2 linked regions of the Saccharomyces cerevisiae S288C genome follow. The protein of the gene in region 2 interacts with the protein of the main gene of each other region in a biochemical or structural test. Each region holds a gene or a part of one and is shown on either strand. Other genes may lie near its edges. The genes, in order: YSC84 and ACF2.

Region 1 (7,081 bases), on a different chromosome or scaffold from region 2:
TACTACACAGATTGAATCAATCACCACTGGGTGCAGGCGCTCTTGCTGGTCATCCTTACGGCATTGATAGAGAATTTTTGGCTGAAGGTTTGGGTTTCAATAGTGTAATTGGTAACTCCTTGGTTGCTGTTTCTGATAGAGATTTCATCGTGGAGTTGATGTTTTGGGGAACTTTGTTCATGAACCATATTTCTCGTTTTGCTGAAGATTTGATTATATATTGTACAGCAGAATTTGGTTTCATACAGTTGAGCGACGCCTATTCAACAGGTTCTTCTTTAATGCCTCAGAAGAAGAATGCAGACTCGTTAGAGTTGTTAAGAGGTAAATCCGGTAGAGTATTTGGTGATCTGACAGGATTCTTGATGAGTTTGAAGGGTATCCCATCTACTTATGATAAAGACATGCAAGAAGACAAAGAGCCACTATTCGATTGCTTAACAACTGTAGAGCACTCCATGCTGATTGCCACAGGTGTTATTTCTACCTTAACTGTAAATAAGGAAAAGATGGAAGCTGCTCTCACGATGGATATGCTAGCTACCGACTTGGCAGATTACTTGGTCAGAAAGGGTGTTCCATTCAGAGAGACTCATCACATATCTGGTGAGTGTGTCGCTACTGCTGAAAGACTTGGTCTAAGCGGTATTGATAAATTAACCTTGGAGCAGTATCAAAAGATCGATTCGAGATTCGGACAAGATCTTTTTGAAACTTTTAACTTTGAACAAAGCGTTGAAAGACGAGATGCTACTGGTGGAACCGCTAAATCTGCTGTATTGAAGCAATTGGATAATTTGAAATCCCAATTAAATTAGCAGATGGCGACGTTATGCGCAAGAATTTCATCAGGTCTGGTACTTCTAGGACTTCATCAACCCTTCTTTAAATACTTATTTTGTTATTAGTATTATATTTTCGAGATTGTGCTATGTATATATATACGTAGATAAGCAATTGTTATCTAATCAAGGATATTATTTGGATGATTTAGAAGATGACCGGCAAAAAAACGAAATAATGCTGCTATATACCTTGGCTAATCTTCCTCTCAAGCGTTTCAGGGAAAGACGTGTGTGATGGTTGAATATAAGTGAAGCAAATGGCCATGAGACTAAATAACTAAAACGGCCGCAATAATACACACTATTGTAACCTCCCAAAGTCGTTAACCAACTTAGCAGTTGTCTTAGTTTATACCCATTCGCACTCATTATCATTTTGTAAACTGGATAATGTAGGGCCTCGTGAATGTCTGAACCGGCCATTCTCAAAAATTTATAGTTCGATGGTTGTGACCCAATCTGCAGGATTCCAAGCTTGATTGTGGAAACATTTAACCTTTGATATTCCTTGAAAATTTTAAATAGTGAGTCGATTATTCCAGACGTTATAATTTCTGTACTATGATGGACTAAGTTCAGGTCCGCAGTCAAAGATGGATTGAACATAATTAGTTGGGTTTTTCTCTTCAAATGGGGTATAATGCTTAATAATGCTTGATAATACACAAATATACTTGAATGAATTTCAGATTCCAATGAGTCACATGAAATTACTCCGGATGGATGATATGATAACCTTGGCATAAACAATATGGATGCTAGCCTTGGTACATCAACAAAAAAACCCTCGAAGTCTTTTTCGCAGGTGGGATCAATGTAATATATGAAATCCTGATCTTCTTCGTGCTTCTTATAGACGTCTGCATTTTCAGTACAAATATATACTGTAAACCGTCTGCGATATAAATCCATCACTTGATTCCTTATGATAGGATCATTCATATCGCCCAGTATTAATACCACTTGAGATTCTGCTTCAGGTAAATTAGGTGGCAGTTTAAAAAAGGTCCTATACCCAAGGTATAAGCACAGGGAGGTGGCAGAAATTCCCAAGCCTAGCTTCCAATGATCCTGGAGCCCGATCCTCAAAGTTTTATATACTTTAGATCTGTTACTGTCGTTTTCCTGTAGTCGAGGAGTCTCCTTGTTGGATATCTTTCCAGATATGGATTCAATTGATTTTTCGACGTGGTTCTTGATCTCATCGCTCAAGACAGCGCTTTTCGAGACGAGCCAATACCCAGCATCAAATATCTGATCCACTATATCCTTACCACCAGACCAAGCCATTTTTATTTGTTTTTTTGAGAGCAAATATCTTCTGTTGTCTGTTTTATATTTCCTGTTTGTATGCCACCTACAACATTTTTACATGTTCCGACGCTGACCGAAAACGACCTGAAGGGAATTAAAGTTGACTACCCCCTAACTAGACCCTGTTCTTAACATTATCTATAACATGAAACTATCTTACACTTCACAGTAAAATTTTCAAGAGTAGTGGTAATATCAAATCCAAAATCCAAAAATGGGTATCAATAATCCAATTCCTCGAAGCTTGAAAAGCGAGACCAAGTATGTTCATATATATGCTTCCTGCTGCCCCTCCTCTAAACTTATGGATGCAGCTAAAATGTTCAAGATAGCTCTCTAGTCTGTGTCCATTGCTTATGGGGCATGAGTTTTCAAAAGTAATGTACTAACAACTTTATGATTGATTTATTTCGAATGTTTTAACTACAGGAAGGCCGCGAAAGTTCTAAGGAGTTTTGTTAAACCAAATCAAGTATTTGGAGCAGACCAAGTTATTCCACCATATGTGCTAAAAAGAGCTAAAGGTCTAGCAATTATCACGGTTTTAAAGGCTGGCTTCTTGTTTTCAGGGAGAGCAGGTTCTGGGGTGATTGTGGCCAGGTTAAAAGACGGTACATGGTCGGCTCCCTCTGCTATCGCTATGGCAGGTGCTGGTGCAGGTGGTATGGTCGGCGTTGAATTGACAGATTTTGTTTTTATTTTAAATTCGGAAGAGGCAGTGAGGTCCTTTTCTGAATTTGGTACAATTACTTTAGGTGGTAATGTGTCAGTTTCCGCAGGTCCTCTTGGAAGAAGTGCAGAAGCTGCAGCTTCTGCATCCACAGGTGGTGTCTCGGCAGTTTTTGCCTATTCCAAAAGCAAAGGTTTATTTGCCGGTGTGTCTGTGGAAGGTTCAGCCATCTTGGAGAGAAGGGAAGCTAATCGAAAGTTTTACGGCGATAACTGTACATCAAAGATGATTTTGTCAGGTAGAGTAAAAGTTCCACCAGCAGCAGACCCCCTACTCCGTATCTTGGAATCAAGAGCGTTCAACTTTACACGCCACGACCATGATGACAACGCTAGCGGTGATGATTTTTATGATGACGGTCAATACAGCGACAACACAAGCCATTATTACGACGATATTCCAGATTCCTTTGATTCTACTGATGAATCCTCAACACGTCCAAACACAAGATCATCAAGAAGAAGAGGAATGTCGCTGGGGTCACGCAGTCGTTATGATGATGATTATGATGATGATGGTTACGGACGTGGTCGCGGGTATGGAGATTTTGATAGCGAAGATGAAGATTATGATTACGGAAGATCTCCAAATAGAAACAGCAGCCGCAATAGAGGCCCACAGATAGATAGGGGTACTAAGCCGCGTGCGAATACCCGATGGGAAGATGATTTGTATGATAGAGATACTGAATACTCCCGTCCCAACCATTCCGGTAGGGATTATGATAATACCCGAGGAAATAGGCGTGGTTATGGTAGAGAAAGGGGTTATAGCCTTGGTCATGGCCCAACTCACCCCAGCAATATGAGCAATGTCGATGATTTATCACATAAAATGTCGAAGACAGGGTTAGGTAATGAATCCACTGCTACAAATTCGGCGACACCAACGGCTGTTGCTCTCTACAATTTTGCTGGAGAACAACCAGGCGACTTGGCTTTCAAAAAAGGTGATGTTATTACTATCTTAAAAAAATCAGATTCTCAAAATGATTGGTGGACAGGCAGGACTAACGGAAAAGAAGGAATATTCCCTGCAAACTACGTTAGAGTTTCTTAAATTATCGTCCTCCATATGTCTCGTTCCTATATATAGAATTTTTTTTTAGAGTTATGAAGTTGAGGATGGGTTCCTTATTCAGCTATGTTTACGAAATGTTTGTAGTTATATAATCACAATGGAAAGCTTCGAGGAACCACTTCTTAAGTACTCACTTAGTAGGTGGAGTATTTCTTGAAACTGGACTATACGCCATTAAACTAAAAAAAAATCGAGGCTGAAACTCCTTGGAATAATTCTGGGTAGATTAAGATAGCAAAGAAAACAATACTCTATTTTTATAGACATACGTACTTTTGTACCGAAAATTGCATATTGATGAACCTGCCTTCTTCCTTTAAAAGGAATCAAACTGTAAATCCGAGGCTTTCAGCAGCTCTAGTGACTTGTTTTTGTAGAATTTTCTGTGATTCTAATGAAGTATTTGTCATTAATAAAAAGTGCGATAGCCTTTCTGAGTCATGCTCCCAAAATACGTCAAAAATAAACTCGGAAATGCTGCGCAGATTTTCTTCTTTATTTAAACCAGAAATACTTATACGTTGTAAATTTCTGTTTATAATTTTTTTTAAGGACTCAAGTATTTCTGCATTCTCCTGTTTAGTTCTCTTAGGCTGATGCAGTTTTTCGTCAACAGTATTTGTAATTAAATTAAATGCTGGATGAGGTTTCATCGGCGTAGCTACGAGAGAGTTCATGTTTGTGTAGGAATTTGAATATGATGAGAATGGGGAAACTACTTGTTGAAACTGTGACGTTAATCCCTTTTGATGAGCTGATAACTCTTGTGTGCGGAAACGCATCATGGAACTAATGTTGATTAATTTCTTATAATTTTCATTGTTGTTACCATCGTCATAGTCTATCTCATTTAGTATATTATCATTATTCTTTGACCATGATGCCTCAACCAAACTACTTCCAATTAGTCTCCTATCCAAAATATTAAATAATCTCTCAGCATCACTACGAGAAAAACACTCAACATGTCCACAAAATGTCCAATTTAATGAGTTATAGTTTGTGATCTTAATTTCACTGAATCTTATTTTTTCTTGTAAACATAGTTGAGAAATAAACTCCTTATTGCAATTGAAGCTTAAATTTTTTAGATAAACCTTTGTTTTCTTGTTCGTTCCAATTTGATTATGAACAGGCTTATCTTTACCAGGACCAACCCAAATGGTATGGTTTTTAAAAATTGTTTTATTCAAACATTTCTGTGCCTTTTTAGATTCTTCTTCATTTTTATATGTGACGAACGCTTTATGTGGTGTGTTCGCCTGCTTTTCAGAGATGAATACAGATTTTATGGGGCCAATAGTGCTGAAGTAATCCAAGACCTCTTCTTGTGTTGTGTCAGATGGTAAATTTTTGACTAATATTGTTTTCGAACGAGCATTATCTGATAAATTATTGCTAGCCAATAGTTCGTCTTCGATAACTATGTCGGAGCCAATCATTTTTTTTCTTTTTGTAAATTCAGGTCTAGTTCTTACTTCTTTGTCAAAATGCAATCCACATATAATTTTATTTCCAAAAAATTCTTGGTTATTGTATTTTTTGATTACATTTCTAGCAGAAATATCGTTATCGAAATAAACGAACCCAATGTTTTTTCTTCTTTCTAGAAGACATGACAGTACATTTCCGTACTCGATCATTATTAGATAAAATGATCTTGTGGTCAGTTGGGGATTTTCCAGTGGTAAGTTAGAGAAAAAAACATTTGTTCCGATGTTTTTTCTAAATAATGTATTTTTCATAGATGGCATTATTTTAACTTCTTGACCAAAAAAAACCGTATAATTAAATTCTTTCCTTGCAGATTCTGCATCGTTTTTATCCTTGAAATTCAAATAGCCATAACCCAATGATTTTTTGGTGAGAAAATCACGACACACTTTAGCAGATTCAAAAGATTGATACCTTTTGAATATCTTCCTTAGCATTTCTTCAGTGACAGTTGATTTCAGATTTCCTATAAACAAACTATTTGTCTTTGAAGTTTTCGTGATATATTTTTGCACGCTTCCCTTTGCAACAGTTTTTTCAAATACTTGCTCTTGTTCTTTCTTTTCTTGAGTTGCATTTTTACAATCGTATTTTTTGAGGCTATTCTTTTCTTTGACTTCAGCATCCTTTAATTTCACATCACCGAGCTTATATCCAGCTCCTTGCACGCGTACTAGTGCTTGGGCTGATATCGTTTTGAAGCTTTTCTGCCTTGCATCTTTATCATTTGGGCAACTTTTAGAAATCGATCTGGGATTTTGCTTGCTATTTAAAGAGATATTATTCAATACATTACCATGAGAGTTTGGCATCTTTTTTTAGGGAATTTTTCGTATTTCTGCTTTTATTGACTTGGATAATTCATTATGTTAAGTAAGCTCTAATTGCTAAAAATGCCATAAAAAGAAAACTTATTGGAAAAGGACCGCCATTTCGAACGGAATTTGTGACACAAGTTCATTTTAGCAAAAAAAGGTCCTACCCGGATTCGAACCGGGGTTGTCCGGATCAAAACCGAAAGTGATAACCACTACACTATAGGACCGGAACTTACTGGTCGATCTGAAAATCATGATCGAATACGTCATCCTTGCATTACCCAAAATCAATCAATTTTTAATGAAATACATCAAATTTTGATTGTTGTTATGAAACTTCAAAATATCATCCGTTTATTAGTACTCACGCTACTAGTTTATTGTCAAATAAGTTGTAAGAAGATGGCATAAACATTGAGAAACAGTCATCAATTCTAATGAAAGCAGAAATGCAAGGATTGACAATGTAATAGGGTAATGAAAAATATAGAACGGAAGGAGAAATAATCATAATAACCTTATGTCGAAATACAGATTCTGAGAATTAGGTGAATTTTGAGATAATTGTTGGGATTCCATTTTTGATAAAGGCTATTATATTAGGTATACACAATATACTAGAAGTTCTCCTCGAGGATTTAGGAATCCTCAAAATGGAATCTATATTTCTACAACCTAATATTACGATTATTCCTCATTCCGTTTTATATGTTTCATTATCTTATTACATTATCAATCCTTGCACTTCAGCTTCCTCTAACTTCGATGACAGCTTCTCATAACTTATTTCATCATCTAAC
Region 2 (8,153 bases):
GCTCTAAGATTACAAAAGAGATTTTTGAACTAAATCAATCTTTGTTAAAGAAGTACCCTGAAAGAAAGGCCCCATTTATGGTTTCCACTATTGACGCTGAGAAGTATGATTTGCAGGAGAATGGTGTTTACGAATTACAGAGAATCTTATTTCAAAAATTCAATCCCACTTCATCTAAACTGATATCATGTGTCGGTACTTGGCAGTTGTACCTAAGGGACTCTGGTGACCATATTTTGCACGAATTGAAGCTGGCCCAAGAAAACGGCTATAAGCTTGGGCTGAAACTGGTTCGTGGTGCTTATATTCATTCTGAAAAAAACCGTAACCAAATTATCTTTGGCGATAAAACGGGCACTGACGAAAATTACGATCGTATCATCACTCAAGTTGTCAATGATTTAATCATCAATGGCGAGGATTCTTATTTTGGTCACTTGGTTGTCGCCTCTCATAATTACCAATCCCAAATGCTCGTTACTAATTTGCTAAAATCTACCCAAGACAACTCTTATGCCAAATCGAACATTGTGTTGGGGCAATTACTAGGTATGGCAGATAATGTTACCTATGACCTAATTACCAACCATGGCGCTAAAAACATAATCAAGTATGTCCCATGGGGCCCACCATTGGAAACTAAAGATTATCTTTTGAGAAGATTGCAAGAAAACGGGGATGCTGTGAGATCTGATAATGGCTGGCCATTAATCAAGGCCATAGCAAAGTCGATTCCAAAAAGAGTAGGCCTATGAGAGGACTATAATATATACTCCAATTTCAAAGACAAACCAAAAAACCAAAAAAAAAAAAAAGTATGCATACATAATTCTGATGTTCTAGTTATACATATTATATATAAGTAATGATAATAACACTAATAGTAAAGTAAACGCACGGATATCAAGAGTTAATATACTTGAACCACTTAAATAACAATCTGTTGGTAAAGCTTTCTTCCTATTGATTATGGGTTCGAATAGTACCAGATGTTTTGCCAATCCTAAATCGGTAGGAAAGTGGCTTGTCGTCGTCAGGCTTATTATCAACTCTTATGCACAAGAAAGGTACTCATCTTCTATAAACTACATAAGACCTGAATCTAATCAAAGGGAGAAAGCGCAGAACATCAGATTTAAAGCGGTTTTGCTTGATACACTCAGCCTTGTCTCTTTGTAAGGATTTTGGGGTACCTATGAATAATACATCTAGTAGTGTTAGTAAACCAACGTATGGGATTTTGGGATACATAGTTTTCCAGTGTTTCTTATCCGTGATAGTTTAATGGTCAGAATGGGCGCTTGTCGCGTGCCAGATCGGGGTTCAATTCCCCGTCGCGGAGAATTTTTTTAAGCTTCTATTAAAGAAGCTTTTTTTCACTTATATCTGATGGATGATGAATAGCTAGTTCAAACGGAAATCTTTGATAAAGCTATATCAAAATTCAAAGCCCAATAAGTCAGTATCATGAAGTTTATAGCATTAATATCAGGTGGGAAGGACTCGTTCTACAATATTTTTCACTGCCTGAAGAACAACCATGAATTGATTGCCCTGGGAAATATATACCCAAAAGAATCAGAAGAGCAAGAATTAGACTCTTTCATGTTCCAAACAGTAGGACATGACTTAATAGACTATTATTCTAAATGTATTGGTGTTCCACTATTTAGACGCTCAATATTACGGAACACTTCTAACAACGTCGAGTTGAATTATACTGCTACTCAGGATGATGAAATTGAAGAACTATTTGAACTTCTAAGAACTGTCAAAGATAAAATTCCAGATTTAGAAGCTGTTAGTGTAGGTGCCATCTTATCGTCTTACCAGAGGACCAGAGTGGAAAATGTTTGTTCCAGATTGGGTCTAGTAGTGCTAAGCTATTTATGGCAAAGGGATCAAGCCGAACTAATGGGTGAAATGTGCCTTATGTCCAAGGATGTTAACAATGTTGAAAACGATACTAATTCAGGAAATAAATTTGACGCCAGGATAATCAAGGTGGCAGCAATTGGATTGAACGAGAAACATTTAGGAATGTCCTTGCCTATGATGCAACCGGTGTTACAGAAACTTAACCAACTTTATCAAGTTCATATCTGTGGAGAGGGTGGGGAGTTTGAGACAATGGTCTTGGATGCCCCTTTTTTCCAACATGGATACTTGGAATTAATTGATATTGTCAAATGTAGCGATGGTGAAGTTCACAATGCAAGGTTAAAGGTAAAATTTCAACCGCGTAATTTGAGCAAAAGTTTTTTACTCAACCAATTAGATCAATTACCTGTACCTTCGATTTTTGGTAATAATTGGCAAGATTTAACCCAAAATTTGCCAAAGCAACAAGCTAAAACAGGAGAACAAAGATTTGAAAATCACATGTCGAATGCTCTACCACAAACGACAATCAATAAAACCAATGATAAGTTGTACATCTCTAACCTACAATCACGTAAAAGTGAGACGGTCGAGAAGCAAAGTGAAGATATTTTTACTGAGCTAGCCGACATTCTGCATTCCAACCAGATTCCACGGAATCATATTTTATCTGCGTCATTATTAATTAGAGATATGTCTAATTTCGGAAAAATCAACAAAATATACAATGAATTTTTAGATTTGTCAAAATACGGACCTTTGCCACCATCAAGAGCATGCGTAGGTTCGAAGTGCTTGCCAGAAGATTGTCACGTACAGTTATCAGTTGTTGTTGATGTAAAAAATACAGGCAAAGAAAAAATCAACAAGAATAAGGGCGGACTACATGTTCAAGGCCGTTCATATTGGGCTCCATGTAATATCGGACCATATTCCCAAAGTACTTGGTTAAACGATGATGCAAACCAAGTCAGTTTTATCAGTGGGCAAATCGGACTAGTACCGCAGTCAATGGAAATATTAGGAACACCTCTCACTGACCAAATAGTTTTGGCATTACAACATTTTGATACTTTGTGTGAAACAATAGGAGCTCAAGAAAAGTTACTCATGACATGCTATATTTCAGACGAATCGGTTCTCGACTCTGTCATCAAAACATGGGCGTTTTATTGTTCAAATATGAATCATAGATCAGATCTATGGATGGACAAATCTGATGATGTTGAAAAATGCCTAGTTCTTGTAAAGATTTCTGAATTACCTAGAGGCGCTGTTGCAGAATTTGGTGGTGTTACTTGTAAGAGATTAATAGTGGACGATAATGATTCCGACAAGAAAGAAAGGGAAGAGAATGATGATGTTTCAACCGTATTCCAGAAATTGAATTTGAATATTGAAGGTTTTCATAACACTACAGTTAGTGCGTTTGGATATAATAGAAACTTTATTACGGGATTTGTAGATAGTAGAGAGGAGTTAGAACTTATCTTGGAAAAAACCCCAAAATCAGCCCAGATTACCCTCTATTATAATCCCAAAGAAATCATCACTTTCCACCATCACATTGGATACTATCCGGTGGAGAAACTTTTTGATTACCGTGGTAAAGAACACCGCTTTGGGTTGCATATTCGTTCCTAACTCCAAATGTAGGCCTTATATTTTATAAACTTAATAGATATACGCTGTCCACGCTCCTGGCGGTGTAAATGATAGACAGATCCCAAATATGTTAGCAAATCATAGGAACAACACCATATTGTGAACACGTAAAATTTAGAATACGCCGCACAATTAAGGTGTGTTCTGTAATAATTTGATTATTGATGATGGTTTAGGAACCAATATTCATATAAAAAAATGATCATTCTATAAAATACCTTATCGTAACACTTGTACCATGCTACTAACACTGTATATATTTCTGACCCCTAAGAAAAAGCACCTGAATAAGCTAAAGACCAAGTTAAGCTTTGCCCATTGTCTAGGAAATTTCTGTTGAAATCAGGTTGGCTGAAAAAGTCGTACGAAAATTTTGGATCAAGCAGAGCCATATTTAACATGATTATTCCTTTCCAACCGTCATTCACTTGATCAATTATCGGCTGCATTTTTTCTTCCCACTCCTCTTTGACAAAATTTGGTGTTCTGACCCATGAAGATGCTGATGTTATAGGAATGGCGTGAATCATATGAATGTATTGAGGCTCCATGCCAAAATACGTGGCGTGATCAATTTTATTTTCGAATAAAATACCACTAACTTTATTACCAATAAATTCTTTCGGTTGGACAGTATTATTGCTTTCGTATAGGAAGTAGCTCTGGAAAACATTTCTCATGATGCCGAGTTGTAAGTTCGCTATGTCAGTTAACTTAGAATTTCCAGTTACCAACCCCCACAATTTTATCGCATAGCAAGAATTGACATCTTCTGAAGTAGATTCTTCATCTTTACCGTCACCACTTGGAAATAGTCCTTTGGCCCATGAATGGCCATTAAACCAATCAAATGACCTAAATTGAGGGAAGTACGGATCATCGTTGTCAACACCAGAGTAATCTCTAATTAAGCACTCAACCCAATCTCTATTATTTTCTAACCAGGAGTTGTTAGTAACTCCACTTAAATCAGAATCGACTAAAGAGATAATGGCAGCCGTTATGACATGATAAGAGTAATGAAAATGATGATCATTATAATAAGAGTTACCAAAGTCTTGGCTAGAAGAGCCTGATGAAATTATGCCTTTCCAACTAACGTCGTAATTTAAAGGTAAGACTTGCTGATTGCTGATGAATCTCTCCATTGCAATAGTCAGTTTAGATAATAATTCTTTTGTTAAATTTTCATCATGAAGGATGTAATGTGTCACATAAAGAATCCACGCATACTTTGCAAGTATCTTACCAGAGAAATACATAGAATCTATGTTTGATTCTTGTTGAGGGTCACTCAATTGAACTTCTTGAACAGCAGCTTCCCGAATTTTAGATAGCTTTTCTTGACTGTAATCTGCCTTCTTATTCAAAGATAACGCGACAGGTTCAAAGCCCAATTCTTGAGGTACTTGAACCTGCATATCAAAACTGTTTGTGAGATAACCAGTCATTAAGCCTTTAACTGTGGAATCCAGGCTTGAGGCAATTTCACGTTCCTGCATTTCTGGTGTGAATGCCGCTTTATGATGTGGTAAAGCATACATTAGAGTAGTTCCAGACTGCGAGTAGCCTGCAACCGTATAGTTAAATCTGTAATTTGTGAAATGTTCATCAACAGTTTGCCCTGATAGGTCACAGTATACTGGATAACAGCCCGCTGCCATGTCAATACTGGGGACGGAGTCTGCAGATAATTGACAGATAAGACCATTGATTTTATGAGATGATATTATTGTATTGCTGTCGAGTAATGAAATTTGAAAATCTTGTGGAAAAGAGTAATCAGGTGAGGTCAAATAAAGTATCCAATTCCTATTATTCTCAAGTTGTATATTATATTTACCATATCTTTCATTCACGCTTATGCGCTCTAAGCTCCTGAAACCAACGGCGCTTCTTAATTCAAAACCCAAATCGTGGTAAATAGCCGTGACAAAGCCCATCCCCTGAACCAGCGGGAATTCTATAAACTGGGAACTACTCAAAGACATTAGTAAGCACATGGACATATGTTTCATATCCCGGAATTCAAGCTTGATATCATTTGAAGAGACAAATTCCCTGGCCTTGAATACAAATGATTTTATATTTGTGGGATTGAAGTAGAATCTGGGAGGATTTGTAGTTGTATCAAAAACCCTTTGAGACGCTAAAGTATGATTGGCGGCCAAACCAAACAATTCTGGATCACGAGAAAACCAAATTGAATAAGGATGTGTCCATATAGGTTGTGTATTATCGTCTAATAACATGTTTGTGTAGAACTTGTTTGTCTCCAATGGATCAACAGATTGATCATCAATATTCGGCTTTGGTACCGGGTGTTGAACTTTGTTGAAGACGGAAGGAGGAGCTTTTAAGTTAGAAAGGACAGGTGATTGAAAAATATTGTCACTATTCACCTGGCTGTCAGCTAAAGGGTTAGAACTGCTTGGTGTGCGCAGTGATTCACCTGCCACCCTATTTTCTCGAGGTTTACTGGAGTTCTCAGAAGAACAAACTGGTGGCTGAACATTTGCGCGAGGTGGTAAGGGAGGAGGTCCTCTATTGGTAGTACCGCCAGGTCTATTAGGAACAGGTGGAGGAATGGCTTGCCTACTGTAACACATCTTTTTACTTCTCGTATTTATTTATTTTTGTTTTTATGATACTAGCACTTTTCAGAAATTCATGAATTTTATTTATGGTTCCAAGAAAAAAACTTCAAAGAAATGAGTACTAGAATGATATATCCACAAAAAAAAAAAGAGCAGAAACAAAATGGATGAGATGGATAATGTGATACGATCTCTGGAGCAAGAATATCGGTTAATATTGCTCTTGAACCATAGGAACAAAAATCAACATAGAGCGGCTAGCTGGTATGGATCGTTCAATGAGATGAAAAGAAATTGTGGACAAATAATAACGCTTTTTAGCTCGAGAAGATTACAAGCCAAACGCCTTAAAGATGTTGAATGGGTCAAGTTGCACAGGCTATTACAGAGAGCACTTTTTAGACAGTTAAAGAGATGGTACTGGCAGTTCAATGGCGTAATTGCGCTGGGACAATTTGTAACGTTGGGTTGTACACTAGTAACATTGCTGGCAAATGTGAGGGCACTGTATATGAGATTATGGGAGATTAATGAAACTGAGTTTATAAGATGTGGATGCTTAATAAAGAACTTACCGAGAACAAAAGCAAAATCGGTTGTGAACGATGTCGAAGAACTTGGAGAAATTATAGATGAAGATATTGGCAACAACGTTCAAGAAAACGAACTAGTGATAACGTCTATACCAAAGCCTCTGACAGAGAACTGTAAGAAGAAAAAGAAAAGGAAAAAGAAGAACAAATCAGCCATTGATGGCATATTCGGATAAATATACAAGTAAATAGACTTTTTAAAATAATAATATCAATGCTAATAAATCATTCATTAATGACCTTGTCTGCCCAAGTAGGCAAAACAAACGCACTAGAATGTATTTGAGGATTATAGTACTTCAGCTTCCCTTGTTCTTGCTCAGATATCTTTCTTTGCGGAATGTTCAACGGTATATTGGCGTTATTACTGCAAACAATTAAACCTAATTGGCCAGATGTATAGGTTGGAACCATGGTATAGCAATATTCTGTATTAGGAAATACCTTTTTGGCTGTATTTTTCAAATCATGTAAGTATTTTAAATTTAACCAAAAATTTTCAGAGCTTTGCATAATAACAACGCCATTAGGATTTAAAGCATCTTTCAATAGTTCGAAATACCTCTCTTGAAAAAACGCTTCAGCTGGACCTTCAGGATCAGAACTATCTGTAATAATGACGTCAAATTTCTTATGGACGTCGGAAGCACCTATATCTTGTAAGAACTTGAAGCCATCGCAAAGTTTCAAGTCCAACCTTTCGTCATCGAAAGCACCATTACTCAATGTGGGCAAGAACTTACGGGATAATTCGATCACTGATGAGTCAATTTCTACCATAGTGATATCTTCTACACAGCTGTGCTTGGCTACTTCCCTTAAGACACCTCCGTCCCCACCGCCAATGATAAGTACACGCTTGGGATTAGAATGCGCAAACATGGCAATGTGGGTGATCATCTCTTGATAGGCAAACTCATCAAATTCCGTACATTGGACAATACCATCGAGGACCAAAACAGTACCGTATACCTTGTTACGGAAGATTAAGATGTCCTGAAATTCACTGCGGGCTTCATAAAGTATTGAGTCCACGGTCATAGTAAAGGCCTGGCCCGGAAAACTTTTATCATTAATCTCTCTAAACCATCCATCTTTGATGTAAGGATGCTGTGAATTATTAACCATAATGTATAACTGAATCTGTCACTTTATCCTGCCTGTCTCATCGGCGTTTTGATATTTTATTTTTAACTAAAATCAGCAGCAACTTGAAAAATTTTGAGATAACCTTAAAAAGGATCTAGCAATAAAGAGAAGCTCGAAGTAGCCATGGACACTGAAGAGAAAAAAAAGACTACAGCGTCAGTAGAGCATGCCCGGATGTTGCAAAATGAAATACAACAGTTATTTGCTCAGTTGCGGGATACGAATTCTCAAATTCGCTGCGATCTTAACGAGTTTGAACAAATAAAGG

Evidence for each region.
Region 1: the proteins of ACF2 (region 2) and YSC84 interact in a test that uses a peptide from one of them, tested with the Saccharomyces cerevisiae proteins (one study listed by BioGRID).

What each region holds. Positions count from the first base shown.
Region 1 is NC_001140.6:133,748-140,828, reverse strand, and holds YSC84 (Ysc84p), read left to right. Parts: upstream 1-2,373; coding exon 2,374-2,420; intron 2,421-2,588; coding exon 2,589-3,948; downstream 3,949-7,081. Other genes in the region: argininosuccinate lyase ARG4, read left to right, coding at 1-818; YSC83 (Ysc83p), read right to left, coding at 978-2,135; MIP6 (Mip6p), read right to left, coding at 4,296-6,275. UniProt on the Saccharomyces cerevisiae protein: Essential for the organization of the actin cytoskeleton, fluid phase endocytosis and vesicle trafficking, together with LSB5.
Region 2 is NC_001144.5:425,862-434,014, forward strand, and holds ACF2 (endo-1,3(4)-beta-glucanase), read right to left. Parts: upstream 6,156-8,153; coding exon 3,816-6,155; downstream 1-3,815. Other genes in the region: PUT1 (proline dehydrogenase), read left to right, coding at 1-755; DPH6 (diphthine--ammonia ligase), read left to right, coding at 1,468-3,525; RMP1 (Rmp1p), read left to right, coding at 6,307-6,912; SPE4 (spermine synthase), read right to left, coding at 6,962-7,864; YLR146W-A (uncharacterized protein), read left to right, coding at 8,009-8,153. UniProt on the Saccharomyces cerevisiae protein: Cleaves internal linkages in 1,3-beta-glucan.